Arabidopsis thaliana: one gene and its partner. The protein of the gene in region 1 interacts with the protein of each later gene in a pairwise test. Each region holds a gene or a part of one and is shown in the gene's direction. Other genes may lie near its edges.

Region 1 (3,861 bases):
TTTCTTTTTTTCTATTTTTTCATTCATTACTAGTTAGTTTTGACTTTTAAATAGAGGTTTCAAAATTATTTAATGGTTTTGTAATCCGATTGATTTCATAAACTGTTCTCGTGTTCTAACAATATTTTCAAAACAATTAAACTATTTTCGTTCTCGTCTTAAATAGACTTGTAAGAATCTCACATAAAATCTGTTTAACTAGGATAAATATAAAGCAAGAGTCAATATATTCATGTCAATAATTTTTGAATTAGAAACTTGTAAACTCTAAAACCTTTGTTGACCAGTTTTTTTTTTTTTTTAGTAAACTTAAGATGATCAATATTATTGTTAATTAGTATTACGTATATGATCAATATAAAATGCATATACGTATTGCTGAAACGAGAGGCGAAAATACAAACAATTCTCTTCATTGCAAGTACTTAGACATTGCTATTACTTGTGAAAAATCCAAAATGATTATTAAGAGACATTATTTTTTCGTCATTAAGAGACATTTTTTTGGCATGATTATTAAAAGACTTTAGTGTATGTGTATATTTGACAGACACTCGTCCTTCCTTATAGGTACGCAAATACGACCCCATGATTGAACAAGTTATTGTCCCTTAAAATTTCTTGAAGTTTCCTCTACAAACTTCTTTTCTTTATTTGCAATATTGTACCTCTAATTTTGGGGGCTTTTTTTTTTAGTTTGGAAGCAACTTTAACCTAATTAATATCAATTGGCTGGTAGATTTCTTTCTTTTATGGGTCTTACGCCCATATATTTTCTAAGACCAGGACAGAGGTATTAATTATCAATTTACTTACGGTTAAACCCCCTTTAGTACACCTTTTCAAGTCTAAGTATAAAATATCCTCTCAAATGAAATCAGTACAAATTGTGCAATTAATCACACACCATTTGGTGTCTCGAAAAAAAACACTCAGTTACAAATTTCTCCAAAATTTAAAATTTAGCCTCGAAGCATATGGTTTATTGGTTAAGACAAGTTCCTTTAATTAGCCCTCGATATATATAACTAAAGTAAACATATGATACTTACTAAAAAAATTTCCTGAATAAATCTTCAAAAACTGTTGACATTCATATAATATGTTTATAGAAAATCAAAATTTGAAAGACAATAACTCTATATCCGTGTAAATAATATGTATATTAATTCTGATCAAAACTAAATTGCAATTATGGCATATCATATATGTGGATACATATTGCCTTCACATGATGAGCATATATATATACCAATATGTAAATAGGAATGTATGATCCAATGAGTCGAAGATCAAGGTAAAGGATAATTAAACAGTAAAACTGAGGTGAAAATTATCTTACCACACAAAACAAAAAAGGCTTGTCTCATCATGTTCATCTCGGAGACAACTTTCATATAATTTACGTACCCGGCCGAGACAAAATCTCTTTTCAACACTGCCCTTCTAAATATGGTCGTCTCATAATCTTTTAATATACTGAAAAGTATTTTGTTTTCCTAATTTAGTTGCATAATGAGATTTTAAGAACCGGGAAAAATATTAAAGCAAACAGTGACCCCAAGTGTGTCGTTTTATACTAATAACAATATATTCACAATATAGAAATAGAGTGGGTCTGTGAGAAAAACAAAAATAAATGGAGCCACTGGGTCCATTTCCTTTATTCAATTAGACTTATTGCATTGTTTTTGGTCCCATTCCCTCTCTTCTAACCCGTACCCAAATATATTAATGCATATATAAATATTTTGAGTGACTGAGAAATGATAGCCAAAATTTTACCAACATTTTTCTCTTCTCATATCAAAGTTTCTCTCTCATTTCTTCATCACACTTCACTGCCCTGTTTTTTTTCCTCATTTTGAATAGTTCTCAAACTTATATATTTTTCCCCCTGAAGCCTAGCTATTTCTTTTTATTTGCATTAATCTCGGGATCCGAATCGAAAAAAGCAATCAGAATAATAGACTTGTACGATACTTGTGCCTAAGCTAACACAATGGCAGAGGAATACTACAGCCTCCGCTCGGAGAGAGTAACTCAGCTTCTTGTCCCTAACTCGGAGTCTGACTCAGTGAGTGACAAAAGCAAAGCTGAGCAAAGCGAGAAGAAGACTAAACGTGGGAGAGACTCCGGTAAACACCCTGTTTATCGCGGAGTAAGGATGAGGAACTGGGGAAAATGGGTGTCGGAGATTCGTGAGCCGAGGAAGAAATCACGTATTTGGCTGGGAACTTTCCCGACGCCGGAGATGGCGGCGCGTGCACACGACGTGGCGGCTCTGAGCATTAAAGGAACGGCCGCTATACTAAACTTCCCTGAACTCGCTGACTCATTCCCTCGACCCGTTTCATTAAGCCCTCGAGACATTCAGACAGCAGCTCTTAAAGCAGCTCACATGGAACCGACGACGTCGTTTTCATCTTCCACGTCTTCGTCGTCGTCTTTGTCTTCTACGTCTTCGCTCGAGTCTCTTGTGTTGGTGATGGACCTCTCGAGGACTGAGTCGGAGGAGCTCGGTGAGATTGTGGAGCTTCCAAGTCTCGGGGCGAGTTACGACGTCGACTCGGCTAACCTTGGGAACGAGTTTGTCTTCTATGACTCAGTTGACTACTGTTTATATCCGCCGCCGTGGGGACAGTCGTCCGAAGATAACTATGGTCACGGAATTAGCCCTAATTTTGGCCATGGCTTGTCATGGGATCTCTAACAGTTTATTTTGTATCATTACCATAATGTTTTGTTTAAAACAGTTTATTTTGTATCATTGCCATAATGTTTTGTTTAATCACGTTTTTAAAACCCTTTGCTGTTTTTGTTTTTTTTTTGAGTTTTTTGGTGTTAGCTAAGAAAGGTTTTTTTTTTTTTTTTTTTTGGAGCGGGTGTGAGCTCCATAATGATACGTGTACAAAACTCTATTTGTGTTTTTTTTTTGTAATATATAAATATCGGGTTTTTTTGTCGGAAAAGAAGGGAAAATAAAGTGATTTTTTTGTAAGTATCATCAAATGAATAAGCGATAAATAAAAGTCCACTAACTTTATGATATTGTAATAATGCAAATCATCAAAATTTAAAAAACTGTTCAATGTTTTTGTTTTTGTTTTCTTTGACAAAAAAAGTTTTTTTTTTAAAATTATAGGAAATATCTTTAACCATTAATTGTAAATTAGAGTCTCACTATCCCATTCATTTTTGTTTTGTCGACATAAATGGAACGGAGAATGTGAGTTAGGGTAAAAAATGAGGGAAAACACAAAGCAAGAGCAACTTGTCCAAGCTGACGCAAACAATACACAGCCACATATGTACATCCATGCAATACTTTATTATCATCTATTAGTATGTTAATGACCATAATTTCCCACTTTAAAAAATTTGTTAGACAATATAGGCCACACAAATATCATACAACTCGTTCTATTTTAGAATTAAAAAGAGAAAGGCTTATGATAAATTCAGATCTGATTAGCCAGCTCCACAGATGACTTTTTTTTGTTTGTGTTCTTATTCTACGATATGTTAAGATTAAAGACTAATTTATCAAAATTTCATAATGATCATCAAATAAAAAAGAATGTATATATCAAGAAATAGATTAATATTAAAATGAATGAGCATCTATTTAATTTCCACATATAACTTGGATCCCTAAAGGGAGTTCCTCCTCTCTTCATTTTATGTCTCCACATCCAATTTTCTTTATAGCCGAACTTTTGTCGTACCACCACCGTTGTGGCGTCACTATTTGCTTGTGCTTAAATTAAGAAGCTAAATAGGATTTAAGATTTTGGTATTAGGGTTTATGATTTTTTTTGTTCTCAAGATATAAGATGATCATTTGGAGCTAGAGTTTAG
Region 2 (4,201 bases), on another chromosome or scaffold:
CATAGATGCACATAATTTATTTGTGACAAAAAACGAAGAAGGCAAAGATTGTTATATCGGACGTAATATGTGGTTTAATATTTCACGTACCACTTAACTGATGTTTGATGGTGGTGTACGAACCGATTGAGAGATAATTAAAAAAAAAAATCGAAGGATCATATTTTTCGTGTTTGGTTACCGATCGATAGGTTGAATTTCTCGGTCCAATGATGCAATCATTCGTTGGAAAATAATTTGTGATTTCAGAATCCAAAAACATGCGTACAATACGACCTTCTTATTTGCCAATTCATTTGTATAGTGATTATTCTCATCACTATGGTTTAGTCATCATTGGCTTTGTTCTGAAATGTTTTTCTTTATTTTTTTTGGTTTTAGCCGTATTTTGCTTGTTCGAAAGAAGGAGCAAGTTGTGATGCTCTTGATGTGATCGCCCAGAAGAAACTTTGGCCACCGACTTCGTTTTTCTCGGCGATGGTCGCTTGGTACGAACACATTGGCCTTGGCCCATGGCGTTTGCTTGATTGTTTGTACACACCACCGCACATGACAGAGAATCATCAAAATTTGAATATTTTAAATAATAAATATAAATTACATATATTTAGTAAGTTCCGATACTAATTTAGATTTTAGTCTATGACCTTGAATGACGGTAGTTTTTAGACATTAGGTCTTAGTTTTAAACCCAAAAGACCGAATTTGATATAGGATCTATTTATGGTAACCGAAGAATTTAACTGCATATGACTAAAGACATGACTGGTTTAATTGCAGCGGACGGGGCTGTGGTTTCGCTTGCGGTTGCGGAAATTTGCGGAAGCGAGATATTGTGGTTTCAAGCGTTTTAAACGACTAATTTAACGTTTCAAAATAGATGCATTTGCAGAAATCTTATGACTAGATGCAATAATAATTAAATAAATAAAAAAGATCCAAAATAAATATAATATATAGGATTAGATACAAATATGAAAAGATATATACAGAATTATATATATTTATCTTAATTACAAATATGTTGATTATTTATTATTATTTTAATATTTTAATTCAACCGCTACCATCCACAACTACAAACGTTTGCGGGAAGGAGTTTTTGAAATGTATTGATATCGAGCGATCCGAGCAGTATCCCGCGATTTATATGATTATTGTCAATCACTAACAATTGTTACCACATGTAAATGATGCGTTTGCATGTAGTAGAAGGAGAACCAATCAACCCCTTAACTGATGATGGCTGAATTTATTTTAAAGGTGGCTGAATGACTTCAAATGATAACCACTGAATTTATTTGAGATTATTCATTTTTCAATATAGTTACCTGCTGGTAACATATATTTCCTCCATTCATAATAATATCGTTTTAAATATTTTTATATAAATTATTAATATATATTATATTTTAAAAACCAAACTGATTCATACTTTATAGATTTTACATTGAAAATTTAGAACAATACTTATTTTGGAAAAAATCTTTAAACAACAAAACAGAATAAGTATTTTTTTTAATATTATTTTGTGAAAAACAACTATTTAGTTTACAATAATACCTAATAGTATAAGTAAACTTTTACAAAGTTGTTCGGTAATTACATTGTAATAGTCAAATATACAAAATGCTAAACATATTTTAACAGAAGGAACAAATATTAGAATAAAGTAAAAAGAAGCCAACTTCAAAAAAAAACAAGAAGTGTCACAATGCATGAGAATATTAATTATAATTGGACTGTCTTTAGGTTTAAGACATTTATTACTCTATATATATTTCCCCACTCCCTATTACAGGTCCCACTTTTAACCATACATTTAACCATAGTTAAATCATCAAACCCTACCTTTCTCTGTTAAACATCTTCAAGCTCTGTCCTTTTATTTTAAATATATTTATTATTCACATTTATTAACATTTTTATATCTCTCCCTATTAAATTATTTTATTCTCTCTTAGCAACATTCATCAACCAGAGCAGATTCACTATCATCATCTTATAACACATCTTCTTCCTCTAAAGTTTATTTTCTTAAACTTATTACAAAAAACATGATCTTCAAAAGTTGATTTAATCTCTTTTTATCCATCTTCTTCTTCATTTCTCAATATCAAACTTTTCTTTTTTTGTAAGCTTAACATAAACCCTAATATTTTCTTGATTTTTTTCAAGAAAATAAAAACATAAAGATGCTTGAAGTTAGATCAATGGATATGACTCCAAAATCACCAGAACCCGAATCCGAAACTCCGACCCGGATCCAACCAGCTAAACCAATCTCTTTCAGTAACGGAATCATCAAACGCCACCACCACCACCACCACAACAACAACAAAGTCACTTACAAAGAATGTCTCAAGAACCACGCGGCGGCGATTGGTGGTCACGCGCTTGACGGTTGCGGCGAATTTATGCCGTCTCCTTCGTCAACACCTTCCGATCCAACTTCTCTCAAGTGTGCAGCTTGTGGTTGTCACCGTAACTTCCACCGCCGTGAAACTGACGATTCCTCCGCCGTTCCACCACCGTCTCTTCTTCCATCTTCAACAACAACCGCCGCAATTGAGTATCAGCCTCATCACCGTCATCATCCTCCTCCTCCGCTAGCTCCTCCGTTACCACGTAGTCCTAATTCATCTTCTCCGCCGCCTATCTCTTCCTCCTACATGCTTTTAGCTCTCTCCGGTAATAATAAAACCGCACCGTTCTCAGATCTAAACTTCGCCGCCGCGGCTAACCATCTCTCCGCCACGCCTGGCTCGAGGAAGCGATTCAGGACGAAGTTTAGCTCAAATCAGAAAGAGAAGATGCATGAATTCGCCGATCGAATCGGTTGGAAGATTCAGAAACGTGACGAAGACGAAGTTCGTGATTTTTGCCGTGAGATCGGAGTTGATAAAGGTGTTCTCAAAGTTTGGATGCATAATAACAAAAACTCCTTCAAATTCTCCGGCGGAGGAGCAACCACCGTGCAGAGAAACGATAACGGTATCGGCGGCGAGAACAGTAACGATGATGGAGTTCGCGGTTTAGCTAACGACGGTGACGGTGGTGGTGGGAGATTTGAGAGTGATAGTGGAGGAGCTGATGGTGGCGGAAACGTAAACGCCTCGTCGTCTTCGTCGTGAAGAAGAAAACATCATGTCGTTTTGCAGGGAAAGAGTTATAATAATGGAAGCTTAAGCTTTGTTTTTAGCTTTAGATCATAGAGAGTAAGCACTGGTATTATTATCGTTAATACGTTTTATTAATATTAATTAAACTCTTTTAGCTCTTTTTTAATTTTCCAATTTTATTATAATTTCATTACCACGACGTTGTCTTATTTTTCCATTTAAAGTAAGTTTATATCAACAAATTGGATTATGTTATAATAAGTCAATTTTGGTTAATTTAATGAACCCTAATGAGGAAAATTTTATAACTTTAATGTTTTTTTTAATAATATGTTTTTTGGCTTCTTATCTTAAAAGCATTTTGTCTTTTTAAATTGTAACGTTCCCAAAGGTTTCATAATACTTTTCCACTAATGGAAAGATTATATGAACTAATCACCCGAATTAGTCACAACACTATAGGTCAATTTAGGTAATCAAACGAACCCTAAAATGTGAGTCCCAAACATAAATAAACTATTGCAATTTAGTTAATTATTTAATATTATTTGATGGTTTCTTATCTTGAAGAGTACTTTGTCGCTTAATTTAATATGCGATCAAACTAAGATCTAGGTGTCCTTTTCATAAATCTCTCTTTATTCTTTGAGAAAAGAGACAGGTTTTGTTTTATATATTAATTATTCTAATAATATATTTTGCAATGATTAGTTATCTTGGTGTCTAATTAACAAAAGATTCATCGGATAATTCATTTTAATTTCCTCATTAATCCATTTCTTTATCATCCTTACATTCCCACTATCCGTTTTTGGTATATATGCTCAAGTGTTCGATATTCTTAAAGTGCAAACTACAAATAAGTATATATTATATAATTGGGATCTAACTATTATTATTAAAGTGCTATATAGTGTTAATTTAGGGCGTGGAACTAATCATTAACTTTACGAATAATTTAAATAACTTTCTAACTGGGAAACGTAGAAATGCAGCCGTGATTATGCGATAGGCTTAAGACAATTAGATACTAGTCGTGATTAATAAATGTCGGCTTACCAAACATAAAATATTAATAA

The links.
Region 2: the proteins of TINY2 (region 1) and HB34 interact in a two-hybrid assay, tested with the Arabidopsis thaliana proteins (one large-scale study listed by BioGRID).

The regions. Positions count from the first base shown.
Region 1 is NC_003076.8:3,726,641-3,730,501, reverse strand, and holds TINY2 (Integrase-type DNA-binding superfamily protein), read left to right. Parts: upstream 1-1,775; 5' UTR 1,776-2,002; coding exon 2,003-2,713; 3' UTR 2,714-3,049; downstream 3,050-3,861.
Region 2 is NC_003074.8:10,939,531-10,943,731, reverse strand, and holds HB34 (homeobox protein 34), read left to right. Parts: upstream 1-1,898; 5' UTR 1,899-2,195; coding exon 2,196-3,134; 3' UTR 3,135-3,427; downstream 3,428-4,201. UniProt on the Arabidopsis thaliana protein: Putative transcription factor.